Linked DNA regions of Oryzias latipes. The protein of the gene in region 1 purifies or fractionates together with the protein of each later gene. This does not show direct contact. Links are inferred from orthologs where the notes say so. Each region holds a gene or a part of one and is shown in the gene's direction. Other genes may lie near its edges. The genes, in order: ybx1, usp10, csde1, ncbp1, larp1, ilf2 and chchd2.

Region 1 (4,583 bases):
TTGACACTCAGCATTAAGAGGTTGGATTGGGGGGTTCAGCAATCAATGGTGGCCGTGTGTGCAGCTCATTGCTCCCCCAGGTGATGGGTCACATGCAGTGAAGCAGTACAATACCAGGTTATAACAACTAAAAAAATATGTGAAAGGAATACACACCCTACATACAAAACGTCCGATCTGAAAAAAATCTCTTTTTTTCAAGAAACACGGAGATTGTTTCAAATATTCCAGTCAGTGCTGGAATATTTTCTATATTTCTATTTAATATTTCTCAAAAAAGGGCAGGATTGTCTTGAAAGTTCACTTTAAATATGGAGTTATTCTTGTTCTCACCATTTAAGGCAGGCATGTCCAAAGTCTGGCCGGTCCAAGGTGGGTTCAGAAACCTGTCAAAGGTTTCTTTCTAGATCTCTACAAAGTCTGGCCAAATGCAGCCCTCCTGAAAGCCTCTTCTAGCCTGCTGGTACCTTTTATAAAAATAAATGTGCTCCCAGGAAACTGTGTATGATTTCTTGATTATGATTGCCTACTTTATAAACCATTTTAAACCTATGGCAACACTATGATGTGACCCTTTTGCAATACCTTTTAGCTCATTTCTAAAATGTCGACTGTAAATTTAACAAATGTTGACAATTGGGGGTCGCTGCTTTCAGGACAAGTAGAAATTTGTGTATTTTTTTCAGTAAGATACTAAACATGCAAGAGGCTGGATGTTTTCAAGAAATTCAATATCAAGAGGGACTACAAGACAAGACATCCCAACTATGCCAAGCTAACTAGGAAAGAATGGTGCATGGTTTTCACATGTGAAATTCACTGTCATTTTGTTAAAGATTTATTAAGCTCTTCTTTTGTTCTATGTGTAGAAAATACAATTAATATGCAATAAGCATTTCCCTTAAACAGTTCATGTGCATTTAATGTTATAAGGGTTCAAAGAATGCAGGTTGAATGGTTGGTCCTCACAAATGTTCACCTCACAAAATCTAATTCTCTTTGCAAAAAGTCAAATCTAAAAATTTGCAGATTGGATCTTTTGTATTTTGGTTATCAAGTTTGGTTTTTGATGTTTAATCATCACTATTTACAGGTAACAACCATTCATTTTAAAAGTAAAAATAAAAAAGCAATATTGTGGATGTTTTTTTAAATTTACAATATATTCTGATTCTTTTGTGGGAGTCAAACTTTTTGAAATTTTACATAAATTGTTAGCCTCCAGCAATATTTAAAAGTAGGCTAATATTTCCTAATAATGCCATAAAAATGTTGTTTAACTACGGTTTTAAAAGGGGTTTACGTGGATCAACACTAGCTTTATGCGTCTTTTTTTTTAGTTTTATGCATCTGACACATGATTACAATGGGGCGGTGAAAACTGACAGGTACGGTACCTTTAACCAACCGTTCGTGAAAACGCGTCGCTTCAACTAGACTGACAGTAGTCTAGCCAATCAGAGGACGCCTTTTTTCTGTGACGCATTCAGTCAATAATTCCAGCCAGTGAAAAGCTCGAATGGGCGGGGCCACAACCAAGAACATTCCCCAACACAACTACTGATTCTGCCCAGTTCGATCGGCAACGGGAGCGGAAAGAGGAAAGCTGAGAGCCCGAAGGCAGTAGCCCCCACCACCGCCGGCCCACGTTACCATCTAGCACCGGGAAAAATAGCAGAGAGCCGCCGCCGGCAGAAGCCATTACCAACCAGTAACTATGAGCAGCGAGGCCGAGACACAACAACAACCACCGCAGCCTGCTGCCGATGATGCGGAAAGCCCATCCAGCCCGGCAGCTGCAGCTTCCGCGGGGGATAAGAAGGTCATCGGTAAGACTGCCGACTCCACTTAGCTAACTAGATGCTAAACGTGGTTTATGTTGCTGTAAACGAGACAGAAACAGCCGTTGAATTATGTTAATGTAAAATGACCGTTACGATCAACTTTATTAAGTAGTTGGACGTTAAACCGTACGTCGAATTGTGATACCAACTGTCAATATAATTATACATTTTAAAAACTGTCAGTTGGGAACGGTTATTCATTAATAGCGTATCATTCTCATTAACTATGAGATGTCACAAGTTTAGGAAAAATCCACATCTTAGAAATGTAGTAAATAACCACTTAATCCATGATTTTCTGTCTTGGTGGGAAAACATTTGCGAAAAAGAGACGCATGCATCCAAACGGCCGTCACATGGATGATCGTAGGAGTAATTTATGTCAGATCCAGCATGTTTACTACCAGACGTTGCAGACCTTTATCTCTCACCGTTAACCGCCAAAAGTACGAACAAAACCCGAAAAAATGACGAATAAATGTTTTAAACTTGGAAATACCCTGCGTTAGTTCACACTAACAAGTTCACCGGCAACTGACGCTAGCTGCTTACTATCCCTTTGTTCGCACAAGTGTCGAATCCCTGTATTCTCTGTCAAAGCTTAAAGGTGGTTGTTTTCAAGTTTATTTTGTAACTATTAGATATATTCAATAATAAACGCTTTGGGATTTGTATTCAAACCGTCCTAAGCTTTAACTCGATTTTTTTTTTACATTTTCGGTGAGGCCTAATTATTTCACGATAGCTTTCCAGTTGCTAACGATGCTAATGTTAGCCTAGCCAGCTAGCTGGCTGGCTATTTACATGGCTGAAAAGGCCACCCAAAATGTCCGCCGTTACACGATCCGTTTATACGTTACAGTTCTATTCTAGCTCGGTTTAGGTACTAAAAGCGCTTGCTTAAGTAGTTTCGAAGTAACATCTGTAAGATGTTGATGGGTTTATTACGTTGGTTTCCGCTTTTTGGCTATACTCCAACCACATGGTTGTAACTCTTAGCTACACGGCTAAGCTAAGAAGCCAACTCGGCTTGTTTTTCGGTCTGTCCGTGTGCGACCCTACCACGTGTGAACGCTCACGTCGTGAACTGGGCGTCTTAAAATGGGGCAGTAGGTCTTTAATGTCCGAGTTCTCTAAATGCAGTTGCTAAACGCGAGGTTACTTGTTTTGAAGTTTGACGTGTCGTAAGCTCTGTTCCCCGTGTTATCCGCATTCCTTCCACACATTTGCAGTCAATGTAATTGGACTGTTTTCTACCATGGCCGGAGCTTCACACCGGGAGCAGCTGGCGCCAGGCTCTCCTAAGCATCAGCATCTATAATAAGCACGACAGTTGGAAGTTATTTTTAACGTCCACACTATGGCTAGTTTTTTCCTGCACATATCTTATTATGTGCGATGCTTTGACTGTTCCCAATCTATTATCATATTTTCAAAATTTCATTACTGCTATTCTAAAATTACCTTTGCAGCTTAGAGAAGTAATATTGACACTTGATAACTGAGTTGCTCTGTTTTTCATTGCAGCAACAAAAGTCTTGGGTACAGTCAAGTGGTTCAACGTCAGGAATGGATATGGTTTCATCAATAGGTAAATGACCACCTCCAGCGTTCCCAATCCTATTATGATTATTGCTTTGCTAACGTGGCTGACCTGATTATTTTTTCTAGTGGTCTGCATGCACACTGTAACCTGCAAGACTTCATTAATCCTTGCACTTGTTGGCTTAGTTGCAATCTGTCTTCAGAGGTGTGTTGTCTTAGTAAGTCATGTGTGGTATAACTGAATCTTTTTATTTTTTTCTCTTTTTGTTCAGGAATGACACAAAAGAGGATGTTTTTGTACACCAGGTGACCTATTATTTTCCAAACCTTTTGGAAACTTAAAACATTTTTTTTTTATTTCGACTAATTCACTTTTCAATTGTTGATGATTTCAGACAGCCATAAAGAAGAACAACCCAAGGAAGTATCTTCGCAGTGTTGGGGACGGAGAGACTGTGGAGTTTGATGTAGTTGAGGGAGAGAAGGTAATGTTTTGGGAAGAATTTGGTTATGTTTGCAGGCATGTTGTCAATTTTAAACTTATCTGTTAACAGGGTGCAGAGGCAGCAAATGTCACTGGCCCTGGAGGGGTGGCTGTCCAGGGAAGCAAATACGCTGCTGACAGGAACCGCTACAGGCGTTACCCACGCAGAAGGGGGCCCCCTCGTGGAGGAGAATACCCAGAGAACTACCCAAGTGATGGAGAAGGCGAGCCTGGCAACGGAGTGCGTGACAAAGGAAACAGAGACGGGGGAGAAAGCGCCCCTGAGGGAGAATCGCAGCCACAGCAGCGCAGACCCACTTACCCCAGCAGACGACGCTACCCACCATACTTTGTACGTAGACATTATGGTCGTGGACCCCCGTACACCAATGCACCACGCGGAGAAATGACTGTGGTACGCGGTCACCAGGCTGCTATCCAGAAGTAGGCAACCAGTTGTACCATGACAGTCGAGACACTTGCTCTTCTCCCAACATGCTCCTTGGTAAAGCTCACGTGGTTGTGGTCAAAGTTTGGTGTATCGGGGGTCACGCTATTGTCCGATGGACTTAAATTGGCCGTCTCTTCTTAAAAAAGTGTTCGTGTTGCTTCAATATTTCTGTGCTATACTGAATAATCTGTTTGTTTGAGAAAGCTTTTTTGCTTGATTTGCTCTGTTTTAGGGAGTTGAAGGCGATGAAAACCAGGGA
Region 2 (3,815 bases), on another chromosome or scaffold:
ATTTTCATTTATATGGATATAGATTATTCTGAAAGGTTTAAAAGTATGATATAGGCCTTTAAAAAAATAGTATGTTTGTGTGCTGGAAAACAGCAGGTGTTTTTAAAAAATTGTGAACTAAATATACTTTATTTTCTTTCTCTCTCTCTCTTTTTTTTTACCTAGTGGGAAATATCAAATTCACTTGTTTGGAAGTGTTTGGATGTTAACAAACTCAGATTTTAGTTGCTTAGAGAAAGTGTGTGGCTACCAGATCAGGCAATATCATATAGATTTGTATGTCTGGGAGTATTCCCTTTTATTCTCTACCCAACTTCAGGTAAATTAGTGTTTGGACTAGCAGCAGCTTGTGTAGGATTAACAAAGAAATGTAAACCCAGTCACTTAAAACACTCCAACAGTCTACTTTAACCGGGTCACAAAGTTATTTTTTTAAATTTTTTAAAAACTTTAAGTTCAATCTGTCACAAAGGTGATCATTTTACCCTTTGTCCAGGACCTGGTGATAGTAACTGAGAGCAAGTGTGGCAAAGTGCACATTATTGCAAGACACCTATTGGAGTGGCAAATAACTTTTTAAAACAGCTTTACACTGGGATAAGAAAGACGTTTCTGCAGTCTGTACTTAGTCTGGGTTATTCATAGAAAGTTGTTCTCACAAAACTGAGCAAATATGAAAGAAAGGCTTACTAGTTAAACCTGGTTGTTCCAGGTGCTGTTTCTGTTAGACTTAATGATCACTTTCAAGATTAGATCAAATGGTCTGTAGCATTCTTTTGAATTACTTCTGAAGATATTTTTCCTTAAGTAATTTTGCACTTAATAATTTTTTATTACCAACTTTAATGTAATTTTTGTGTCGTACCAAATGCTTTTTTTTACTAGTATGTTAATTGGTGGGCAAAATGTCTAACAATATAGCTATCAGATATGATAGTTATATCATATATGATGTATATGTGAATTTTTTGCTCATACTGCCAGTATTTTATTCCATTTCCAGCTTTAGTCATTTACTTTTTGGTTAGAGAACACAATTTTTGATTAGCCTCAGATAAAGATGGGTCTCCTTGTTGAAGGTGAAGGAAAAAATATACATATGCAAACAATAAAAGAAGGAAACAAACACAACAGAAAAAGTTAACACAGTGGAGAGTTAAAATTCCCAACTAAGAGATGAAATTGCTCAAAACAGCACTTTGCCCATTTAAAGTCCGCTTACTCACTAAACTTAAAATAACTTGCTGTGTCCTGAAGCGTGGCTAGTGATCTGTATTTATACCAGGTATAAATGGCATAAACATAATTGAGACCACTGGGAACAATTTTAAAATAGAACTAAAGACGATTGAAGGGAGACTTTAAACTGAGAATTGAGGCATCCTTAATACTTAGAGGTTAACATCCGTTTGTCGATTTCAGCTTGTTTTCTGCTTTTTCATCATGTTTCCAAATTTTCAAACCCAAAATCAACTAAGATAAAGACATAGGTCAGATTAAGCTTGTACAACTAATGTATCCATTTTACTCTACTGTTAAATGTATTTGCACTTGCATGTATGTTTGTTTCTAAATAACACGGAAATCATACAGATGGCTAATCTGTTTTAACCCACAGTCCAAACTAACAGTGTAGAAAGCTTAGAGAGGTACGCGTGGCATGCCTACAGAAGAAACCAAGGGACATTCTTTCTGTTGAGCCATCCTGAGGCCGTTGGATTATAGCCGGCCGTTTGTTGATTGTAGTGCCATTTCAGCAATGCATGCCCGAGTGTGGGGCCTCATCTGCAAAGAGTAACATGCTTGGGCTGCACTTTCTTTTCTATGCCTTTCTTTTCACGTTCTACTGTTTATTGCACTGAGAGGATTAACAACACAGCTAGTGAGTTCTTTTTTCATTTTCTCATGCGCTTCCCCCCCATGCACTCATGTTGACACTTCAGTGGCATTGAGCCTAAGTTATGTGGGACATCTGTTAAGAATAATACAACTGATATATTGACAGTTGTTAACTCATCATAATTTTAGCTCTTTTTACAATTACTGCATATGTGTTTGATGCCTCATGTTTTGGCTTTTGCTCATCAAGGACAAACAAAATCACAAGAGATCCTAAAAGTTAAAAGGATTGATTACCTGAAAATGTGATACATTTTTTAGAACTCTGAGGTGCCAACACTAAAAATAGAACAACTTAATTTTACAGTTTACAAATGGTGAAATATTAGTACTCATGAATTTCAGATAGCCTTATTTAAAACTTGATAAGAATTCAAGATGAGACCCTTTTTGCTGTATCCTTGGAACTGATGTTGCAAGAAATCCTTTAGACCCAGATAGAATTGCGCTGTTTAGCATTCACTACCATAGTCCTTCCTGTATGCATTAAAAACACCCATCTCAAATGTTTAATCAGTCACACACCCTGTGAGAGAGAGGAAAAGGAAAGATTTCTTAAACAATCTGCAATGTCTGTATTTAGGGCTATAAGGCAAAAAATACTACTTCTGTCTTGTACCTCTAGTACAGAATCAATTAGTTTTAATTGGAATTTCAGGAATTTTTCAAAAACTAGTAAATAACTATTGATGTGCTTAATTTTCTTTTTAGAAATTTCTCTTTAACATGTTGAAAACTTTTTTTTGCCAACTAAAACCTTTGTTCAGTCCCTTTAATTGGTCGCTCTACCATCTAATATACGGAAAATGCTCATACAATTTTAAAATGACAATTTTTAATGCCGTTTTCCAATCATTTGTCGTTTTATTGAGTTAGGAATATGTGTTTGACACTACTTTTTTTCTTTGACTAATTAATTTCATTTTTCCTTTCTTTAGTACATCTTTGGAGAGTTCAGTCCTGATGAGATCAATCAATTTTTCGTGACTCCTCGATGTTATGTTGAGGTAAGTACAATGACTGACAGTGGCATTCTCGTTGCTTTTGTTGATAAAAAGAAAAAGGCACTCTGGAAGCAACAGGTTTTACAATTAATTTAATTCAGATGAATTGTTTTAGTAATTCTACTTTAAAGCTTTCTCTCTTTGTAACTGTCTTTAATCTCACAAGAAAAAATAAATCATGAAAGCTTTAAAAACAAAACACCTGGTAAAATGTGTCTTAACTTGCTCTAATTTATTAATTTTTACAGCTTCCTCCATTCAATGACAAGCTTCCATGTATCAGTCAGTCTTCTGGTATGTAAATCTTTATTATTGTTTCAACAGTATTTTAGATTGTGGGTGTTAGCCCACCATCAGCCCTAGACAATTGCTTCAAATTACCCAATGATGTCTCAACTGCTGTTCCATTTTACAGCAAATCTTACAAATGCAAGAGCTTAGGTTTTGTTTCCATTTGTTGCTTGATAAATACCTGATGGAAATATACTTCTTTTTGCACAATTTACAAGTTTTTGTTGAATGCTATATATTGTTTAAAATATATCGCAAATGTAAAAAACATATTTTTAGAATAAAAAAAATAGCTCTTTTGTCCTTCTTGTTCAGCCACCATCTTAATCTGGTAGACTAGACCAGAGAAGCCTTTAAGATTTGTGACCATTCCAGGAAATATATCTATTCATATTGGGTTAACAAATGTCTTAACAGCCACCTGTGTTTTAGTGGAATTGATTTTCAGATAACATTTGCCTTTCCTTGATTTGTATTGATTATTTAGGAAGTTACTGCACTCCTGCTGTACCTTATATAATGGAGTCAATGGGACTGCAGGTTTGCGGTGAGTTCAGGGGTCTGACACCTTGTGGCTTGACTAGCTGATGTACATTGTCTTTACAACTAAAAATCCAAGTT
Region 3 (3,815 bases), about 6.2 Mb from region 1:
GCATAAAATGCAGCAACTGACTCTCTAATGTTACACGTATGCTAATAAGTTTCATTCACTGTTGAATATTGTATTTAGAAAAATGTAATGTTTTATGTCACCTTTATTTATTAAAAGGTGACAACTTAGACATTTAAGGGGAAAGCTAAATTGCCTTTTAATGGTTCTTGCATATAGTTTGGGTTTAAATTGGCTGCAAATCTTTTACAGAGAAAGAAGATTAAATAAAATAAAGTTGCTGATTTGTGGAAACTTGTCAAAACTAAAGACTAACACTTGTGAGGAAACTTAAGCACAGAAAATACTCCCTTTGTTTTGAAAAGAAATGTTTAATCAAACAGCATTTATCAAACAAAACAAATGATTCATTTTTGCCATGAAAAATAAGTTTTTGGTGTGGAAATAGCTTTCTTTAAAACAACTGTCTGTCTTTTTAATGAAGTCTTACAAATCAGAAACAACTTTCAGTGAATCTCCATCATCTATAAGACGTCTACAGACTTTGCTCTATAAGCAAAGTGTCACATAGAAGCGCTATAATTTGAAAAATCGATTTTCCGGAAGCGCATAATAAATTAAAGATCCACTTTGGCTTGTGGCCTGAAAAGGCTGAGGGCCGCTGCTCTGTAGGACTAAATCGGTGAACGCCACCTGCAAAGATCTTTTACACCCAGATGTGTTTAATCCTCAGTGAAATGTGTGGAGATCTGGATAATCTGGATCTGGGCGACACTGTGGAGTACAGTCTGTCAAAGGGAAAAGGAAACAAAGTCAGTGCTGAAAAGGTCACCAAAGTGGCTGCAGGTACCTGAAGGTTTCATTCATTCATAACATCCATTTAAAAGGTTCTGATCACTCAATGAAAGTTCTCTCTTATTTTTTAGTGAACGGGACGGGCGAGGATGTTGGGACAACAATTCTGACAGGAAAAGTGATCCGTCCCATCCGCAGCGTGGACCCCTCCCAGGCCGAATATCAAGGCCTCATCGAAGTCATAGATGACGGTCGGTGTTGCTAGAGCAGCTTCTGTCATTCCAACTTCCTCCTTTTCACTCTTTTTATTATTTTTTGTTTTTATTTTGTTTTGCCCAGCTGGAGGAAAAGGACCGTCTTACCCCTTTGGAATTATGGGAATGGCAAACAAGGGAGACTGTTTGCAGAAGGGAGAATTTGTAAAGTTCCAGGTTTGCACGGTTTCCCAAACTGGCCAGAAGATGGCGTGTAATGTGGTTCCCCAGCGCCGGGCTGTGGTGGAGTGTGTCAAGGACCAGGTATGCTTGATTTCTCTGGCTAAGCCGTTGCCGCCGGCGCCGCAGGTTTAAGCCGTGGGCTCGTTTCCCCTCCTGCAGTTTGGATTCATTACGTACGAGGTGGGCGACAGCAAAAAGCTGTTCTTCCACGTCAAAGAGGTGCTGGACGGCCTGGAGCTCCAGACGGGCGACGAGGTGGAGTTCTCCGTGGTTCTGAACCAACGCACGGGAAAGTGCAGCGCGTGCAACGTGCGCCGAGTCAGGTGAGGGCGGGAATGACCACCGGGGTTACAGCTGGGGTTTCCAGCTCGTCTTGTACAACTTTCCTCACGCCCGTTCTTTTTTAGCGAGGGGGCTAAGCCGGTGGCGACGCCGCGTCCAGACCGCCTGGTGAACCGGCTGAAGAGCATCACTCTTGATGACGCCAGCGCTCCTCGTCTGGTCATCCTGAGACAGCCTCGTGGTCCGGACAGTTCAAAGGTAAGCGACCTCTGACGCTGCGTTCCCGTCGCGCGGCGGAGGCGTCCAGTTTCTCGTTTCCTGCGTCACGTTGGGCGTCAGCTGTGGAGGAATTCTCCAGTCACGGCGTGTTTTTGGGGCATGTTTCCAGATTTCAAATACCTTAACTTTGGTGAATTATTCAAATCACATCAACCAATCAGGAACTCGGCTTTGGCCTGTGACGCGTTGATGATGCGATTAGTGGGTGGAGTCTAAAAACAACACAGAGGAGAATCTGATCGTTCTCCTGAATATATTTTTATTTTTTCCCCTCCTCCACTGACGCGGGACGACTCGTCAAACTGGGACAGAGGTGGAAGTAGCGCTGAACGGGTCTGGTACGCAGACGGTGAAGCTCACCGTACCGGCAGAGTCCCTGAACGATGCCATGAACCCGAACATGGAGGCGGGATTTTCGATGTTGTTGTAGCGCTCTTTAAAATAAATCAGCTTGGTCAGTAGATCATTGGTACTTAAAGATTCTTAGTTCTGAACCGGTAACACACGGCAGGAGCGGCAGGTCTATGAACAGACTTTTGGACAAATGTTCAGTGGGAGGAGGAATTCGTGTCCGGCTTAGCCGTACCTTGACGCCAGCACTCGTCTGTATTTATGGTCGAGCGATGGACCCAAGAGTTGAGCTTGAAGGTGCAAAGACGCTCAGACATAGCCTCCAGGATCTGACATCTTCTCCCTCTTCTCCCTCAGGGCTTCAGCGTGGAACGCAAAACCCGCCAGCCGGGGGTGATCGACTGAGCGGAGGCTCCCGCTGCGTCTGTGCTTGGCCGCTGTCCTCGCAGGCTCCAGCAGCACAAACTGGAATTTGATTTGATGCTTGCACATCAGCTAACCCACAAACGTGCGCACACATGCAGCCGTTGGCGTGTCCGTTTGGCCATTATGCATCCCTGTGAGGGAACTCGTCTCGCTCCTCCACCGTTCCCTACCTCCCACCCATGATTGAATCGGTAGTACCCCACTGCAGCCTCCGTGGGTTCCTGAGAGTGTGCGTCTGTGTGTGTGTGTGTGTGTCATGTTCCCCAGAGGTTAAGTGTGTGTGGCTGAGGGATTTGTTTCAGTTTGTCTTTTTCCAAATTGGCGTGACGACTGGCTTTCCGTGTCTTGACCTCTCGACCAGGCTCTGTCTGGAATTCTGCACCTGTAATCGGTCCGTGGACCCCCCCACCCCGCTCCATTAATGTCCTTCATGCTGTTTCACTCACGGAAACCTCAAGTATTTGATCAAACTGGAGCTTTCCTACACAATGCGTAGATGGGCGTCGGCTCCGTCGGGACGCCGGGACTCTCCTCTGCTCGCTTTTTTGAGCAGTTTTAAATGCTTGACTGAAGAGCTGAAGTAAAAGCATGGAGTTATGTCTGGGGGGGGTGTCAAAGTAGTTGCTATACTTGATGCTGACGTGCCCCCCTCCCCTCCCCGTCCCTTAGCGGTTTTTTCTCTTTCAGGTGCAGAATTCCTCGTTGCATCTTATATTTGCGATTCTTTTATACTCTTTTTCATTTCTGCACATCTTTTTTTTTTTGTTTTTTTCGGAAACTCAGTCTGCTATATTGAACGTTACAAATAAGGTGCCTATTAATAGCAAAGTTAAATAAAAATCAAAATAAAAGTAAGATGTCTCCTCTGTTCCTAGCACACCACCAACATATTCAGAACAATCTTAAGGTGGCCCCCCCCAGTAGAAATATTGCTATATGCATCCCAGAAATGTGGGTTCATCTATACTGTATGTAATGTGTGCTTTTTTTTTTTGTTTTCTTTCTAATAAAAAGATCAAATATAATAAATTTAATTTAACGGAAAAAAGTAAAAAAAAAAAAGATCAGCTTTTGAAATTAGGATATTAGTTTTTGCTCTAGAGAGATGATGTTCCTCTGCACGATGACCTACAGCAGAAACTCCTTCCTCTGGACTTCATGGGGTTTTGGTTGGATGACGTTCAGAGGTTCTTGTGTCTTTTTTTTGTTTTTTTCATTTATGGTCTTGAATGAAACAATTGAATAAAGGTTTTATGAAAATGAGTTGTTTGCTTTTATTTAAAACAA
Region 4 (4,385 bases), on another chromosome or scaffold:
ACGTCAATATTTACGTAATGAGCCAAATTTTGGCCTGTCAATACTCTGATCAAGCCTGAAATATATTACATATCTATAAATGATTTAAGCATTGATTTACATCTATTTGGTCCGGTAAACGGTAATAATCTGTTTATGACAAAAACAGGGAAGAATTTTATATGTCTAAAGTGACAATTTAAAAGAAGCAACAAATTTTTTTTTATGTATTTGTTTGTTTGTGACATCAAACACTAAAAAAAAGCCTCTCTGCAAATTTACCAGTTGGCCAAAAGCCCCCCCCCCTCTATTTGTTGTCCCAGGACAGAAGGTAAATGTGCCTCACTAAATATAAAGTAATCATTTAATGAACGCCTGGTGAAAGGTGAGTTTTCAACTGTAAAATGGTCAAATATGTTTTTAACTACAGGATCTATTTCTAAATTGTTGTGCCTTTTTTATGTTGTTTGTTTTGGTGTAAAGCACTTTGTGTTATCATGTTCTAGAATTATATAAATTTTACATAAATAAAGATTGATTAGATTTGATACACAGAAAAACAAAAACAAATACCAAAGATATTCTCTAACTTTCATGTCTTGAATACCTTAGGTAGTAATAATATTACTACCTAGTAGTAATAATATTACTAATATATAAAAGATGCAAACTGCCCAGAATTGGGTCAGAATCAATATTTAGTTTAGATTAGTTTAGTCATTTTTTATTCTGTTTTCAATCATTCTGCGTTGTCTTTGTGGAAAGAGAAGCCAGATATTCTCCTACCTTTCTCCTGCAGAACCTGTAATATTTTCTGTGAGCAGCAGAAATGTGTTTGTTTTGCTTAATTGATCCATGATCAACCATCGACGTGTTGACCTCCCAGTTCAGAAACTCTGAGCAGACTGCTTCACTGGCTGCCATTCTCCTCAACTGGCAAATTAAATGCACGACAAATATGTTTGTGATCGTAAAAAACGCAACTTTGTGATAGAACGCGTAAATACTGACAAAAAGAGAGATATAAGTTCTCAAACGCGGTAAATACCCTTGTATTTCCATGCGAGTGTGCAGCTCACCGGAAGTGGAAGTTCAGCTTCCGGTTGTACCTTGAATGACCCGGATGTCCATCATTTCAATCGCTCCGCTGTTATTTCTCTGTAAGAAGCTGCTGTTGCTGCTGCTGCCGCCTCCGGACTCTGCCGTTCAAAATAAGCAAAGCTTTTCCCGGATCCACCGGTCTGTCCCGCGTTATTTTTTTTACACCGGGTGTCTGCACGCGTGCAGCTCAGGGGGGACAACATGTCCAGGAGGAGACACAGCGACGACAGTGACGGCAAGTCGCGCGCTGCATGTGCGATTCAAACGTTACGGCTAACGCGGCAGCTAGCTACAGCTACCTTGATTATCTGTATGTGCTATAACTTTAAAGGAATGCAACGATAGCAGGCGTTGCCCCAATATCAAGTATTTTTTTAAAGCTACTAAATAAATTAGGGGATTTTAAAAAATGATTTTTAAGAGATTAAGTTTTACCAGAAAAACCCGGTTCCGTTAGTTAGCTACTTTAGCTAACGCTAACGGCCAGATTTATGTTTTATAACGGTTTCTGGCACACAAAACACATTTAATGTTTGTAAAGACTGGCGTAAGTGTTGAAAGAGACACTTTTTCTGTGGGTTCATCATCATGCGCATGGAAACGTGATGTTACAGCCCTGTGGATTTTGTGATTTATAAAGGAACATTCACAACCAAAGTGTCTCACGGTTCCACACTAAAAAAATATCAGACCTAACAATATTTTTATATAATGTAGGATTAGTTTAGTATGTATTTGTCATTGTATGTATAAATGACTTCTATTGGCTTCCATTGAGTGTTTACCTTTCATTCAGAGATTTCAGTAAGGAGAGAATCAGCAAGGCAAGTTTATTTCTTAAGCACATTTTATGTACAAAGGCAATTCAAGGTCCTTTACATAAAACACTAAAAGAAAAATTTAACAGAAATATTAAAGGAGTTATCACCAAAATAAAAATTTAAAGAACTGAAGTAAATACCAACCTGCATTTAAATAAACTGAGTGTTTCAGCTGATCCAAGGCTTAATTCTGGTAGTCTGTTCCAGATCTACAGAGCATAGAAGCTGAATGCAGCTTCTTCGTGTTTGATTTCGACTCTAGGTACTGACGAAAGAGCAGATCCAGATTACCGGACAGGTCAGAACTGGACTGATGTGGTCTAATATTTGGCTCCTTTGAAGGACCCGAGCAGCAGAGTTCTGAATACGCTGCCGTATCGTCCAGCAAAAACACTGGAACAGTAGTCAAGTCGACTAAAGATCGACTTAACACATAAACAAGTTTGGCCAAGTCCTGCTTAGACATCAGATCTTTATTTTAACCAGATGAAATTATCTCAAAGCGATGTTAAAAAGATGGGTTTTGTGCTTCTTCTGAAAAATCTCTACGGTCTCTGAGGCTCTCCGGCAGGCTGACGTCCAACTGTTTGTCTTTAGCCCTAGACACAATATTCTCCATTTTTCTTCTGTTTACCTAAAGTATATAGGAGGAAACCTCCAGTAAAGTCAGATGGAGTATGTGTGACTGTCGAAACACTAGATTTTATGAGACGAATACACTATTTTCCCCCCAAAACGTAGATTTGTTTTTCTGTCTTCAGTGTCCTCTCAGGTCAGAGGTTTAAGTTCTGTCCTTTTCATTTTTAGGAGGTCAAGCCCACAAAAGGAGGAGAACATCAGAGCCTATTGAGATTGAAGACCGCCTGGAGTCGCTGATATGTCGCGTTGGAGAAAAAGTACGATGGCCGTTTTGTCATAAAGCCATATATTTACTATTTAAATAATTTGCAATAACTAAAGTCCGTCTTTGATCTTTTAAAAGAGTACATCGTCCCTCGAGAGCAACCTGGAGGGGCTCGCAGGGGTTTTGGAGGCGGACCTTCCAAACTACAAAAACAAAATCCTGCGTATTTTATGTGCAGTGTAAGTTGTCCGCAGTTCTCCTCATTCTCAAGCGTAACAAACGGTCCGTTTTCACAAACGCGTCTTTCGACAGAGCCCGCCTCCTGCCGGAGAAGCTGACAGTCTACACGACGTTAGTCGGCCTCCTGAACGCCAGGAACTACAACTTTGGGGGAGAGTTTGTGGAGGCCATGATCCGGCAGCTGAAGGAGACGCTGAAAAACAACTTCTACAACGAAGCCGTTTACTTGGTCTGTTGATGTTCAATGTCTAAACTCGCAGCTGCTGCAGCGCCTTTTGCTCTCGGCATCGTTTAAGTTCTCTGCTCTCTTCAGGTGCGCTTTCTGTCAGACTTGGTCAACTGTCACGTGATCGCTGCCCCTTCCATGGTAGCCATGTTTGAAAACTTCATCAGTGTTACTCAGGAAGAAGATGTGCCACAGGTTTGTTTCTGCACGGCCTCACCTGGAATATTTGTTTGCATCAGAAGTTTCAGTTTATGAACATCCCGTTCTTTTTTTACTTAATGTCACATTTAAGGCGCCTCCTTTTGTTTTACTGCAACGTCTGAGTTTCCCCATTTCAAATTCAGCAAACTCCTTTATTTTTGTATCATCTGATGTTCTCAATGACGACTCAAAATTCCATGACTTGGTTTTGGGAGAACTGCAGTCCAATCAAAAATAAAAATGATTGTTTTCTGTGTAAAAATAGTTTTAGATTTATACAAAAACGATTTTTCAGCTTCTCAATTTGACTTGAAGATGAAGATCAGTAAGCGTGAGACCCTTTTGGCTCCAGGTTCGGTTGGACTGGTTCGTGTACGTGGTTCTGTCCTGCCTGCCGTGGGTCGGCAAGGAACTTTATGAGAAGAAGGACGTGGAGATGGACCGACTCCTGAGCCAGATCGAAGGCTACCTCAAGTGAGACGCGGCCTCTTTTCTGGAGCATCTTTTGCTTTCCATTGAAGCTGTTGTTGGACTGACTCCAGCGCTCTGCTGTGTTCCTGGACAGGAGGAGGGTGAAGACTCACGTCCCCATGCTGCAGGTGTGGACCGCTGAGAAACCACATCCACAGGAAGAGGTGAGCCTTTTGGACAAGCAGGTTTTGAAACGCAAGTCTAAAAAGATGCATTAGAAGGATCGAAGGGGGAAAAAAATCCAGATTGCTTTGAAGAATTTTAAAGAGAAACGACTCCTGTGAGGAGAAACGCTGGAACGTCGGCATAGGAAAACTAGAAGAGGAGAATGGGCCACACTGCCCCCCCCCCCCAGTGAAATTGTTGGGTCTGCTGATAACACATGCAAGGAAAAAAAGGATCAAACTAAATGTCATAATTCATAAAAGAAGTATTTAACATTTCAAGTCACTAAAAGGAGGGTGAAAATCAGCCAAATGAGTTTGAATTCGTCCCTTTTGCT
Region 5 (3,815 bases), on another chromosome or scaffold:
TTACCCAACAACACGCACACAGACTTCTCCCAGCTCATCAACTGTCCCGAGTTCATCCCGAGGCAGATGACTGGGGATCCGAGAGGTCGGTCCATTCCCGCCTTCCTGCACCTGCTCCACCAGAGCCTCAACGGCTGTTAACCTGAGGGTTTCTGCTGCAGGCTCCTCCAGAGGATCCTCTCCAGTGCGGGCCAAGCCTGACCCAGACACCTCCAACCTCAAATCCATGCCCAAGGGCCTCTCTGCCAGCCTCCCTGACCTGGACTCTGAGTCCTGGATCGAGGTGAAGAAGAGGCCCCGACCGTCTCCCGCCAGACCCAAGGTCAGCTCAGAACGTCACGTCTTCACACGGAGCTCAGAGTTAAAGCTACAGCTCCACAGATTGATCTCAGAACCAAACCACATCCATCCATCCAGTCAGGTGTTGACAGAATCTGCTCTCACCATTCCTCTTCATCTCCTCTCCCTCCTCTTTTTGTGATGGAAGCAGGCCCCTTCGGTGCAGCAGCAGAAGGAAAAAGACGAAGTGGTTCGATCCCCGGTTCCCCCGCCCGGCTCCTCGCCGTCCCGCACTACCTCAGGAAACAAGGTGAGCCGCTCACCTGCACGGATCTGCAGGGGTTTTGGACCAGTTCTGGTTCTGTTTAGAGCTGTAGGTTTAATGGTCACATGTCCATCAACAGGCCACGCCCCTCCGTGGACACGTGTGTTTTTTAAAGGTCAAATTTAAAATAGGGCTTCAAAACATTATTACAGAATAAACTATATTTGTGAAACAAGCCACCTGGTGGTGACTTGATGGAATTACCTGATTATAGAGTTTAGTTTTAAAGCTGGGATTTCATCCTGAAGTTAGACAGTTTTTAGCAGTTTTTAAAATAGTTTACAAAGAGTTTGAAAATCCTGACAGTCTGTTGATGAATGAAAGTAACTGAGTATCGTGTTTGTTTGTGGGGTCAGGACGGAGCCGAGCAGGACGAACCAGAGGAGCTGGACTTCATGTTCGACGAAGAGATGGAGCAGATGGACGGACGCCGCAACACCTTCACCGACTGGTCAGACGAAGAGACGGACGGCGAGCTGGATGACCAGGACGTCAACAAGATCCTGATCGTCACGCAGACGCCGCCCTACCTGCGGAAGCACCCAGGCGGCGACCGCACCGGACACCACACGTCGCGCGCCAAGCTGACCAACGAGCTGGTCAAGGTCATCAACGACGGGCTCTTCTACTACGAGCAGGACCTGTGGGACGCCCCCTATGAGCCGGAGTACGCCACCATCAAGGTGAGGCGGCTTTATGGTGGTGAAAAGGGAAAAAGAGCAGAGTCATGCATGGAGGCCTTCCAGCGGTGGCTCTCCTTCAGTTGCAGCTTTTTCTGGATCCGGACCCAAAGCAGAGCACAGAAGCTGCCTTTTTGTCCGCTTTTTTGTTGCCGCTGCCGCCCATTGTTGCATTGTTGGGCTCTGTGTGGGACCTTCACGCGCTCGCCAACACACATCCAGCAGCCTGTGGAACACACGCCGCTCGTTTATAAATAGACCCCAAACGGCGGGGTGCCAGGGGGGAGGCAAAGATGGCCGCGGACCGATCCCTGGAGAGTCTCTGGAAAGAGAGGCCGAGTATGAGTGTGAGTGGAGCTGCTGCTCTCAGGACAGACGGGTTTGTGTGGAGCTGCTGTTTGTGGCGATATGAGGGTGAAACGCTTCTTTAAGGCCGCCATGTTCTGCTGCTGCCTGTCTGTCTCCAAACTTCTGCGGATGAGGTCCGCCGACGGAGATTCCCCTTCCGCCGCTGCCGGTCGCTTCCTCCGCTCCCTCTACTCACGCTGCGGGTTTCTGTCTTTTCTTTGCTTCCAGCAAGAGGTGGAGAACTTCAAGAAGGTCCACCTGATCAGCCGGGAGCAGTTCGACTGCCTGACCCCAGAACCCCCCGTCGACCCCAACCAGGAAGTCCCCCCCGGACCCCCGCGCCCCCAGCAGAGTAAGCAAACCCAGACAAAATCAGCAGATTATGTTTTACTAAAAGCTTTAAACTAAAATCTGTTTTGACCAGGACAATAGTTTCTCCTTTTTTTTTTATTTAGGAGAAATTTAGGTTTTTAATCTTTTTTTAAAAACAGATTGAGGTGCAAAGCAGTTAGAAAAAAATCAAAAAAAAGTGACAAGATTTCGACACAGAAACCTGAAACTACTAACTTTGTTAATATATTATTATGTAAATATTGCATTTTCTAAAAACAGATTCAAGTCGAACTCAAAACTAATCATGTTTTTGTAGTTTTAACATGTTCTGATGGCATCTTTCCGATGATGGAGGACAAATGTTAATGTCTTTATTTAATCTAAATGTTATGTCTTTATGGGTAAGGAAGTGTTCTCCCTGAAGCTTAAATTCTGATGCTTCCACTTGTAAACCAATGTAAGTCTTTGTTTTTTCTCGTCTCCGCTTGAATCTGTTGCTCTGCAGAAACTATGTCCTAGAAAACGTCTTTGCGTATTTAATTTTGGCTAAAAACAGGTTAATCATAATTATAAAACCACTGGGAACGCTTTGAAAATAGATCAAATCATGACTGGAGTGGGACTTTGACGGTGTGCAGCCTCTTGTTTTTCAGTCATTCATTGACATAAACGCTTAAATGACACAAATAAAGTTCATAGTTTCACTTTCTGATTCCCAGGAACAAAAATTAAAGCTGTCATTTACTCTACTTCAGCTTTCAAAATGATTAAAGAGTAGTTTTTGAAATGGGGTCACATTTATCAGAGTGCTCCTCCTCATCGGCGGCGTGTCGTTCTTCTCTCTGCAGTTTAAAGCTCACTTCTTTAGCGTCTCGTCGTGTTTCAGTCCCCACAGATGCTTTGGCAAACAAACTTTTCGGCGCCCCTGAACCCTCCTCAATGGCCCGCTCGCTACCCACAACCGTGCCTGACTCGCCAAACTACCGGACGCCGCGGACTCCTCGCACGCCGCATCGTAAGGACCCCACCATGACGCCTCGCTTCTACCCGGTGGTGAAGGAGAGCCGGCCTGTCGACGCCAAGGTGAGACGGCGGGGGCAGGTGGGGTTGATGTGAGGAGGTTTCCCGAGGGGAACTCCTTCACTCACGCTTCAGAGTCTTCCTCTTCCAGACTCCCAGGAAGAGGAAGACCAGGCACAGCTCCAACCCCCCCATGGAGTGCCACGTGGGCTGGGTGATGGACTCCAGAGAGCACCGGTCCCGCACCGCCTCTGTCAGGTGAGTTGCAGAGGAAGCATCATGGTATGGGACTGCTGAGTCTTTCTATCCACCAGCAGATCTTTTTTTTCGTTCAATTATGCTGGACTTATTTTTCTATAAAGGTTTAAACAAGAGAGAAAATTGTGAAAACGTTTTTCTGTCTGAGAAGAGCCCGTCAAGCGTGTAGCGGCGGCTTCTACAGCCTTAAAACAGACTAAATGAGGGAACGGTGTGTTCACAAAGGATTCTATTCCTGGTTATTCCAGTCACATGACTTGGTCAGGACACTCAACATGTGGTGGTTTTTGTGTAGAATGTTGTGTTGAAAACGGACCAAAGCTCTGTAGAAGGAAATGGATCGTTGAAGAAATGCATCATGGGAAGCTTGGTGTTTCGTCATTCTGGATGAAGAGTCCACCTCTCATCTCAGTGGTTGAGCACGGTGGTGGAGGCATGATGATGTGGGCTTGTGTTGTACAGAGGTAGAGCATCAACAGACGTATTCAAAACCGTGTCAGACGGATAACCCTTGAGCTGTCTTGTGGGGAGTGGGGTCATCTGGACCCCACAAGACAGCTCAAGGGATAAGA
Region 6 (4,325 bases), on another chromosome or scaffold:
ACAAAAAGAAACCACATTTACGTAGAAGAAATAATTATTTCCCTGTTTTCTTTCCAGAACTAGTAACATTACTTAAACCTCACAAGAAATGCATTCAATAGTCTTTTCATGTTTCTTATTGCTAACAAAACTCCAGAGGAGGACACAAGTGCAGACCTGTTCATTTTATTTCATTTTAAGTAGGGGTGTAACAATTAAACGACTCGATGAATTAATTTTTATTCGTACGATCCAACCAGATTGATCTATCTGAGGCAAGTTGTTTATCGAATCAAATCAATCTATACTATAAAGTCATTTAAAAATGAAAGAAATTGATTATTAATATTTGAAAATCACATTTTGATTGGTTAGTTTGTGTTACTATATTGTAAAAATGACCAAGTGCAATCACAGCGGACAACACACATGATGTCAGCAAAAAATGATCCAGCATTGTTTCTACACCCCTCTTCAAGAATATTGGTGATACAAATATTGTGTGGACCTGTCTGTGTGCGAAAGTCTTGTGGGATAAATCTTCCATCATGAATGTAGGAATATACTTCCAATCTGTAAATAGATGTGCAGAGAATTTGTTGATGTGTGAACTAAGTCATGCAATTTACTTATGACACTCGTATGTTTTGACCTTGTATTATCTAACCCCTCATCCCCTGTCTCCAACATCCCACTCTATTTCTTTCTTTCTTTCTTGTTTTCTTCCGTCTGATTCAACATAGATCGCATACAAAAATAATTATCATAAATAATGCTTATAGCCTCAAATACAAAAAAGGGGTTTTATACAAATCTACACTCTGTTTGTTGTTTGTCTGAAGATCCATAAACCCCTATTGTAACAGTAAAATCTGTCCAACAAGAGATCTTCAGTTCTGATCTGCTAGCTCAGCTGTTGGTCAAGTTAAAATAAAAAAAGATCAGTCCGTCAATATGATCCAATGTGTGGAAACAAAACACAGACATGTGACCAAACAGTGTGCTAGAATGTTCTAATAATGTTCTGTTTGTATTATTTTGATGTGATTTTGATGAAAACTTCCCCTGCACTGTTCAGTATTTATGTCTTAAGCCACACTGGTTGAAGGTTTGCCCAAAGATGTCCTGGATCAACTTTAGGTTAGTCAGTTAATCAGATCAAATTGGATCATTCAAAATGAACCAATATCGAAAGTGAATCGGATCAGCAACCACAAAATATGTGAATCGTTGTTATAGTGAAATGTCACATCGCTTATTTTAGGGCAAATTAAAAAATATTGTACTGTTGTAAATGTTGCATTTTTATATTATATTCTGAAAATGTTCAATAAAAAAGCTATATAAATAAAAGAGGTTGCACTTTTAACTCCTGGTCTGTAGGGGCAGCAGTGTGCTGTGAGCCTTTCCTCACCGGAAGTTTCACTAGCGCTGCCCCAGTCTATGTCCGGTTCTGCGCCTTCATTGCAGCAGCTGCAAATCTTAATTCTTCTCGTTTGTTTTATATTTTCGGAATCAAAACGTCTTACACGATGAGGTAAGCATATATTTATTCATTTTATTGGCGTCGGTGGTTGAACACGCTGCTCTTGTTGTTGTATTTTGATTTGTGTCCAGCCTGTAGCCGCGTTAGCATAATAACCTGTAAGTTAAGCAGCGTTTCCCTCATGTGTTTCAACTCTTTTTTTTTTTAGTTTAGGAGCCAATTCTGTGAATAAATTCACGCGTTTTCGTACACAGTTTTGTTTTTAGGCTATTTATATACTTATTTGTGTGAATTAATGTCAATAATCATTCTTCGTGCAGACCACTAGCTCCCATCAGATTATGTGTGTATGTCACTATGTGGCCTAATCATTTTTGTTTTATCATCTGTTCCCTTTCTGTGCAGAGGAGACCGCGGAAGAGGCCGGGGAGGGCGCTTCGGAGCCCGCGGAGGCCTGGTCCAGGGGTTAGTGTCTGTTTCCCAAACATTTTCAGAAAACAAAGTCTGATCGGTTCGTGTTGGCAAGCTTTTCTGCCCCCTACATTTTCCTTTCAACAACCCTCTGAGCCAGCTTGCTGATTACTTATATGTCTCTAGTCTGTCAGAAACTGGACACCTAATTCTTGAGGATCAGAATCAAGATGAACGGGGCTAGCTGGAGTAGAGGACCATGATGCTAGGATTGTTGTAACCTAAGAACACTCAGGATAAAAAAAAATCTAATATTCTAAATAGATTGATGACTAAAGATGCCCCCCCCCCCCCGACCTGTAACTTTGAAAAACCAACAGCAGTGTTGCCCATGTTACGAAAGTATTGCCTAAAGTATTAAATCACTTATTCAAATAATTAAATTGTGGCATTCCAGTCATTTCCATGGCCACAGACGCATAAAATGAGTTCTTCTGCAAACATCTTAAGGGATGTTGCCATCCCAGGAGATCAGTGAATTCCAGTTGTCAGAAGCTGTTCTCACCCCTTCCAGTTCAAGTGAAAGGAAGTCTGAATGCTGTAGGACACCAAGAGATTTAAAAATTTAGAAATGTTGCTTCCTGGTAGCACCATGACTGTGCACCACTGCTAGAAGCAGGCCCATAAAGACATGGATGAAGATGATGTGGAGTACAAATGGATTATAACTTATGATCATGCGTGTAAAGTCAAATGAGTGGCTACTTTTGCCATATAGCATGTGTCTGATGTAACAGTGAGAAGGTTTGAGCTTAAAGTGAGTAGTTAAAATCTCCACTTTATGCACTTTAAATCTTGGGATATAAATGTTTACATATGAACGTATGCTTAATTTAATCATTTTTTATGCAGGTACCGCCCGTTTGTCCCACACATCCCGTTTGACTTCTACGTGGTGAGAACAAGTGAACATAGCTGGAATATCGATGCAGAATAAGTGTGAGTCTTGACTTTCACTCCTTTCTTCCACCAGTGCGAGATGGCCTTCCCCAGAGTGAAGCCTGCTTCTGATGAGACGACCTTCAGCGAGTGTCTCCTGAAGAGAAACCAGGACCTGAGCCCCACGCCAGCAGAGCAGGTCTGACTCGGACTCGCCCAGGAACTTTCATCATCATCATCATATGTGCTTCTAACACATTTTGTTCCCTTTTTTTTTTTTTTTATAATAGTCCTCTATCTTGTCGTTGGTCACAAAGATCAACAACGTCATTGACAACCTTATTGTTGCTCCTGGAAACTTTGAAGTGGTGAGTTGCTCCACTAAAGAACCTTTGGTCCCATTTGAAGAACCTTTGGTCCACAGACTAAAGCAGCTTCAATGAACATGTAGATACATTTTTAACAATGAGGTGAAATATGAGGGATACTGCCGGTACATTTTTATTTTAGGCAAAACCAGACTGATTGAAGTATCTTTAATTCAATCACAGCCTTCTGTCACAATCCATGACCCACAACAATGAATAATTGTTTTTTTTGTGCCTCTTGACAGCAAATTGAAGAAGTCCGTCAGGTGGGTTCCTATAAGAAGGGAACCATGACTACTGGGCACAATGTTGCAGACCTTGTAGTCATCCTGAAGATCCTCCCAACATGTAGGTCATGAGTTTCTCATCCGGATGTTGTCAGATTCTTTTGTCTGATCGACTGTATGAGAATGGTTCATATATGTTGTTGATGCATCAAACATCCCAGTGCATCAGCACCGAATCTGAATTTCTCCTTAAATATTTTTTTTCAAACTTGAATGATGTTTTTTAGTCACATTTAATGGTTGTGAAAAATTGTGTCTTTATGTCCAAATATAATTTTGTTCTTTTTAGTGGAGGCTGTTGCTGCTCTTGGCAACAAGGTTGTGGAAACTCTCCGCACCCAGGACCCTACTGAAGGTAAATCACAGAGATCTCCTTCAATGAGTTAAAGCATCAACGTGATTTACAAGTTTACCCTAAAAATTGCTTCTGAAAATTTATTAAAGCTATTGTAAGATTTGCAGGAACTTTTTTTAAAGCATAAAAAATAATTTAAGTCCTACATCAATCATCTTTTGATCTATTGTAAAATCGTTCCCAGTGGTCTTTTAATTATGGTTATAGAATTTTTAGCCAAAATTCTAAAAACCTGCTGTTTTCTAGGACATTTTCTGCAGAGCGGCAATAGTTCATCTGAAACTCGCCTCTAACTTGTGGGTGGGGCGCGGAAGTAAACCTCCGCTTATTTCCTATCGTCACTTTTGTCCACACGCTATCCTGCTAGCTTACAGATGCTCAATACCCCAACCCTGTGCTGATTTGTGTTGTTCTTTTCTGTTAACTGTGTTTAACTGTGGGTGACTAAAACTGTTGTTTTTCTGCGTGTGCTCCTCCTATCAGTTCTGTCCATGCTGACC
Region 7 (4,465 bases), on another chromosome or scaffold:
CCTCTCATCCTCTACTACCTTCTGAGGTGTTTCCCATTTTGACCTTGGGGTTTCCAGTTCCTATTCTGCACACATGTTCCTGTATATTATTCCAGCCACTTGATTGTGGCGCTCCATGTATGCTTTACCTGCCAGCATCTTACACCCTGCAGTTATGTGCTGGATTGTTTCAGGCGCCTCTTTGCACAGCCTACACCTTGGCTGTATATGTGGGTGTGTGGATAGATAGATATAGTCATGTGCTCAGTGAATGTCTCAGACAATGGAGAGCTGAGGATGCAGTGCTGGAGGACAGATCCTCATGGGAGGACAAACCCCTGCATGGGATGTACCACCGGACCATAACTGAAGTGGCGGATATCAAGAAGTCTTACTAATGGCTAGAAAGGGCTGGCCTACAGGACAGCACTGAAGCACTCATCTTAGCAGCTCAGGAACAAGCCCTGAGCACCAGAGCGATAGAGGCTCAGATCTACCACACCAGACAAGACCCAAGGTGTAGGCTGTGCAAAGAAGCGCCTGAAACAATCCAGCACATAACTGCAAGGTGTAAGATGCTGGCAGGTAAAGCATACATGGAGCGACACAACCAAGTGGCTGGAATAATATTCAGGAACATGTGTGCAGAATATGGACTGGAAACCCCAAAGTCAAAATGGGAAACACCTCTGAAGGTGGTAGAGAATGAAAGGGCAAAGATCCTGTAGGACTTCCAGATCCAGACTGATAGGATGGTAATGGCGAACCAACCAGACATTGTAGTGGTGGATAAAGAACAGAGGAAAGCTGTTGTGGTGGATGTGGCAGTGCCAAGTGATGGGAACATCAGGAAGAAGGAACATGAGAAACTGGAGAAATACCAGGGACTCAAAAGAACTGGAAAAAGCCTGGAAAGTGAAGGTGACAATGGTGCCTGTGGTAATTGGAGCACTCGGGGCAGTAATACCTGGAAAGACCTCAGACCTCTCAGTCCAGAAAAGCGCAGTGCTAGGAACAGCTAAGATACTGCGCAGGACCCTCAAGCTCCCATATAGATAGATAGATAGATAGATAGATAGATAGATAGATAGATAGATAGATAGATAGATAGATAGATAGATAGATAGATAGATAGATAGATAGATAGATAGATAGATAGATAGATAGATAGATAGATAGATAGATAGATAGATAAAAACAATGTGTAGAGAATAAATTTACCTAACATAAAAAAGAAATACGGTAAAAATAAACGAAATAAGAAATAGGGAAAAAAAATAACTTTAATTACTACAGTCTTGGAAAGCGTTTTAAAAAAATTGTTTTTTAAAAGTAGACTATTTAACAAACGTTATTATACATGCGAAGCATCAGAAGAGCAAAGACGGGGATAGTAAAACAAATACAAAAAAATAAAATAAAAAGACAGTAGGCGAGGAATTAAATTGTTATTACAGAGCACATTTGAGCGAATGACAACACAATGAAAATAGGGGAAAGTTCAGTGTATCGTCTCAAAATAAAGTTACACAAGCGTTTCAGCTGCACCGGAAGTTAGCCGGCAGACAGATGATGTAACACATAGAAAGTTCCGGATGAACCAAAGGTCGACATAAAACTCGCAAGCGACGTTGCGGCTCCAGATTATCGCGTCAGTTTTTCATCAAACGCACAGCTGTCCAACCTTAATATTTAGGTATGCCAAGAGGAAGCAGAAGCCGGACATCTAGGATGCCCGCCCCGGCCAGGTAACGATTTCTATTTAATAACTGGGATGAAAGGTGGTTAGATAGTGTGCTGCGTGGGATAGCGCAGGCTAAAATGTGCTAATAGTGTTTCAGTGTCAAATGTCTGTGGGAGCCTGCCAACAGAGTTGAGGATTATTTTAACACATTTAGTATCCTAAAATGCCCAAATCTGGAGATAAAAACGTCTATTTATGTTCAGACAGGATTGTTGAGGCAGGCCAAGAGTTTCTGACAAATGTAGTAAAGGTCAAAGTGTCAAACCTATGTATTTTAAAATTCAATTTTATAGAATGGTATAACAATACGTCATTAATGTTCATCTAAACTCATTGAAAGGTTGAGATGCTTTGCATTCATCCAAAAAATGAACTTTAATAATGTTCACAGTGTGAAAGTATCTCTATAATATAACACGTTTTAGTGACAGTTTACTACAAAACTTGGGAAGATTTTTCTTACGTAATTGGCTTCTTTAACCTTCAGTTACATAACTGTCCTGACAAAACCTCATCATGACCTCCAAAACCCACAACATCAACTCTGACACACAATTTTAGTGAGAAATGATCTCTCATTAGACCTAAGCGTAGACCTGAACAAGAGTGATCATGTCAACAACAATAACTCAAAAAATATTACTGTCCTGTAATTTTTAGGTACGGAACATGCCAACTTTGATATTTAAACTAAGGTTTACGCTTTACAGCCGGGCGCCACCATCCCCACCACCCATGGCCAGAGCAGCACCTCCTCCTTCCCACGCCCCTGTCCCAATGCAGGCTCCTCCATCCGCTGTGGGAGCACCGGCTGCTGCACCCAGGCAGCCGGGTATGTTTGCGCAGATGGCTACTACAGCAGCTGGGGTGGCAGTGGGCTCCGCGGTGGGACACACTATTGGCCACGCGTTGACTGGTGGGTTCGGTGGAGGACAGTCAGAACCAGCCAAGCCCGACATCACGTACCAGGTAAAAGGAAGAGCATCTGCCAAAGGACCAGAATAGTATCGGTAAAGATTAGGTTGTCTAACTCCTGGCAATGCCAGCCGTTCAGAGCTCAGCTCTAACAGGAAAAAAGGCAGTCAAATTTACAATTAAAATGTTGCTAAATCAGTTGGAATTTTAATTCATAAAATACAGTTTTGATCTGATTACATTGATTATTTACATGGTGTTATTGTCAAATTGAGACTAACTAAAGCCAAAGTATATATAACTTGGTTTTTTCTTTTTAGGTTTCATCATTTTATCATGTCAAAGATAAACTGAGCCTTTAAAGTAAACATTTTCTTTACATTAGCTCATAAAATACTTCTATATTTAATAGAAGCTGTTGTTGTATTTTTAACTGAATTTCATTTTAAAACATGTTTTACTCTAACTTGTTTTGAAAACAAATGCCCCTTTTTTCAAAATTATTGTCTCTAATCTTTCATTCTGTTTGTCAGGAGCAACATCAGCAGCAGCCACAGTCTTTCTACCAGCAAGAACAGCAGCAGCAGCAGCAGGTTTGCTCCTATGAGCTCAAACAGTTCATTGAGTGTGCACAGAACCAGAGCGACCTGAAGCTCTGTGAGGGATTCGGTGAAGTACTGAAACAATGCAGGTTTGCAAACGGTAAGCAAATGTGGAAATACATTTTGTAATAAATAAAAAAAAAGTAGATATGTACTAAGGGGTTGTTATATTTTTCATCCTCCTGTGTGTTCGATGTTTTGTAGTCTGGTTTTTCCTTTTTTATTTTTATTTTATGTAAGCTAAGCATGGGAAGACTTTCTGTTTTTTCAAAGATTTATTAGGTCCAAATTCTTTGTTGGAATTTGTCAGGGGTGATGGGAGTTGTAGTTTAAACCCGTTTTACTTATGTGATGCTGCACATTTAAAATGATAAAAATAAATGCATCTTAATGAAGTGTTTTCTTCTCCACAGGACTATGATGAGGTGAAGACAAAGCGCTGCAGAGAAGAGGAAGTCACAAATGTTATCAAAGTTTTAGCAGGGTATAATTATTAAGGGATCAATCAACAAAACAAGCTCATTATTTAACATTTGAGTTTCAAGCATCATTTGTGAAGACCGCTGCAGAGCTTAGAAAAATGTTTATATACTTTAGTGTTGTCATTTCCTCAGTTTGTAATTATGATGGGAGCTTGTGTTTCATTAGCATCCATGCTTTTAGTTTCTTCTCTGATACTTCAGACTCTGCAACATGAACCTGTAAGAACAAAAAGTTTGCATTTTCTGGATGAGCATTGCTCAAGGTTTGATTGTACCAGTAAAAAAATAAAGTTAAATCTAAACCTGATTTATTTCCTTGCCTCTTCAATCACACGTTGTGTTTCTTATTTTGGCCTGCTAGTTCTTTAAATAGAAACTAGGAGCTGTTACAACTCAGCGGTCCAGCAACTGTTGTGTCACTCCAGAACGGTGCACGTGCAGTAACCTGTCTCTGAATGCTAAAGGTGAGAAAAGGGACCGTCTTCTCACAGCATGGATCCCAGTTTTTGTTATGTTGATTCGCCTAGGCTGCCTGAGAAGCAGCCGTGTATTTTTGGCGTGTGACATTAAAGCTCGTCTTATACGACGTGGAAGCGGCCACCCCACACACGCGTGCAGCAGCAGTCGGAGCGGACCGGACTGGTTTTAATCTCTGCAGAGCGATCACACTAAGGATGAAAAGGATTTTTTAACACGGACAAGAACGGTGAGTGTTTTCAGGTGTTGCTTCGCTGGAAATGGAA

What was found.
Region 2: the proteins of ybx1 (region 1) and usp10 purify together in Homo sapiens (co-immunoprecipitation; 3 studies listed by BioGRID and IntAct, with this or other methods). This does not show direct contact. The link is inferred for Oryzias latipes from reciprocal best matches to the Homo sapiens genes YBX1 and USP10.
Region 3: the proteins of ybx1 (region 1) and csde1 purify together in Homo sapiens (co-immunoprecipitation; 3 studies listed by BioGRID and IntAct, with this or other methods). This does not show direct contact. The link is inferred for Oryzias latipes from reciprocal best matches to the Homo sapiens genes YBX1 and CSDE1.
Region 4: the proteins of ybx1 (region 1) and ncbp1 purify together in Homo sapiens (co-immunoprecipitation; 3 studies listed by BioGRID and IntAct, with this or other methods). This does not show direct contact. The link is inferred for Oryzias latipes from reciprocal best matches to the Homo sapiens genes YBX1 and NCBP1.
Region 5: the proteins of ybx1 (region 1) and larp1 purify together in Homo sapiens (co-immunoprecipitation; 3 studies listed by BioGRID and IntAct, with this or other methods). This does not show direct contact. The link is inferred for Oryzias latipes from reciprocal best matches to the Homo sapiens genes YBX1 and LARP1.
Region 6: the proteins of ybx1 (region 1) and ilf2 fractionate together in Homo sapiens (co-fractionation; 4 studies listed by BioGRID and IntAct, with this or other methods). This does not show direct contact. The link is inferred for Oryzias latipes from reciprocal best matches to the Homo sapiens genes YBX1 and ILF2.
Region 7: the proteins of ybx1 (region 1) and chchd2 purify together in Homo sapiens (affinity purification with mass spectrometry; 3 studies listed by BioGRID and IntAct, with this or other methods). This does not show direct contact. The link is inferred for Oryzias latipes from reciprocal best matches to the Homo sapiens genes YBX1 and CHCHD2.

The regions. Positions count from the first base shown.
Region 1 is NC_019865.2:7,798,122-7,802,704, forward strand, and holds the start of ybx1 (nuclease-sensitive element-binding protein 1), read left to right. Parts: upstream 1-1,581; 5' UTR 1,582-1,717; coding exon 1,718-1,829; intron 1,830-3,371; coding exon 3,372-3,435; intron 3,436-3,661; coding exon 3,662-3,695; intron 3,696-3,784; coding exon 3,785-3,874; intron 3,875-3,943; coding exon 3,944-4,225; intron 4,226-4,556; coding exon 4,557-4,583. UniProt on the Homo sapiens protein: DNA- and RNA-binding protein involved in various processes, such as translational repression, RNA stabilization, mRNA splicing, DNA repair and transcription regulation.
Region 2 is NC_019861.2:21,048,958-21,052,772, reverse strand, and holds part of usp10 (ubiquitin carboxyl-terminal hydrolase 10), read left to right. Parts: intron 1-2,837; coding exon 2,838-2,906; intron 2,907-3,151; coding exon 3,152-3,197; intron 3,198-3,681; coding exon 3,682-3,741; intron 3,742-3,815. UniProt on the Homo sapiens protein: Hydrolase that can remove conjugated ubiquitin from target proteins such as p53/TP53, RPS2/us5, RPS3/us3, RPS10/eS10, BECN1, SNX3 and CFTR.
Region 3 is NC_019865.2:1,564,069-1,567,883, reverse strand, and holds the end of csde1 (cold shock domain-containing protein E1), read left to right. Parts: intron 1-691; coding exon 692-804; intron 805-884; coding exon 885-1,004; intron 1,005-1,092; coding exon 1,093-1,271; intron 1,272-1,349; coding exon 1,350-1,513; intron 1,514-1,597; coding exon 1,598-1,730; intron 1,731-2,459; coding exon 2,460-2,507; 3' UTR 2,508-3,791; downstream 3,792-3,815. UniProt on the Homo sapiens protein: RNA-binding protein involved in translationally coupled mRNA turnover.
Region 4 is NC_019868.2:27,750,963-27,755,347, forward strand, and holds the start of ncbp1 (nuclear cap-binding protein subunit 1), read left to right. Parts: upstream 1-1,281; coding exon 1,282-1,315; intron 1,316-2,708; coding exon 2,709-2,797; intron 2,798-2,883; coding exon 2,884-2,984; intron 2,985-3,057; coding exon 3,058-3,214; intron 3,215-3,298; coding exon 3,299-3,406; intron 3,407-3,764; coding exon 3,765-3,886; intron 3,887-3,977; coding exon 3,978-4,047; intron 4,048-4,385. Other genes in the region: tstd2 (thiosulfate sulfurtransferase/rhodanese-like domain-containing protein 2), read right to left, coding at 766-1,041. UniProt on the Homo sapiens protein: Component of the cap-binding complex (CBC), which binds cotranscriptionally to the 5'-cap of pre-mRNAs and is involved in various processes such as pre-mRNA splicing, translation regulation, nonsense-mediated mRNA decay, RNA-mediated gene silencing (RNAi) by microRNAs (miRNAs) and mRNA export.
Region 5 is NC_019872.2:3,472,787-3,476,601, forward strand, and holds part of larp1 (la-related protein 1), read left to right. Parts: coding exon 1-85; intron 86-161; coding exon 162-322; intron 323-490; coding exon 491-589; intron 590-960; coding exon 961-1,287; intron 1,288-1,860; coding exon 1,861-1,984; intron 1,985-2,851; coding exon 2,852-3,048; intron 3,049-3,136; coding exon 3,137-3,243; intron 3,244-3,815. UniProt on the Homo sapiens protein: RNA-binding protein that regulates the translation of specific target mRNA species downstream of the mTORC1 complex, in function of growth signals and nutrient availability.
Region 6 is NC_019869.2:21,697,347-21,701,671, reverse strand, and holds the start of ilf2 (interleukin enhancer-binding factor 2), read left to right. Parts: upstream 1-1,382; 5' UTR 1,383-1,511; coding exon 1,512-1,516; intron 1,517-1,870; coding exon 1,871-1,930; intron 1,931-2,788; coding exon 2,789-2,831; intron 2,832-2,909; coding exon 2,910-3,014; intron 3,015-3,105; coding exon 3,106-3,183; intron 3,184-3,428; coding exon 3,429-3,531; intron 3,532-3,759; coding exon 3,760-3,825; intron 3,826-4,308; coding exon 4,309-4,325. UniProt on the Homo sapiens protein: Chromatin-interacting protein that forms a stable heterodimer with interleukin enhancer-binding factor 3/ILF3 and plays a role in several biological processes including transcription, innate immunity or cell growth.
Region 7 is NC_019871.2:16,549,945-16,554,409, forward strand, and holds chchd2 (coiled-coil-helix-coiled-coil-helix domain-containing protein 2), read left to right. Parts: upstream 1-1,530; 5' UTR 1,531-1,677; coding exon 1,678-1,727; intron 1,728-2,433; coding exon 2,434-2,692; intron 2,693-3,171; coding exon 3,172-3,340; intron 3,341-3,653; coding exon 3,654-3,661; 3' UTR 3,662-4,029; downstream 4,030-4,465. UniProt on the Homo sapiens protein: Transcription factor. Binds to the oxygen responsive element of COX4I2 and activates its transcription under hypoxia conditions (4% oxygen), as well as normoxia conditions (20% oxygen).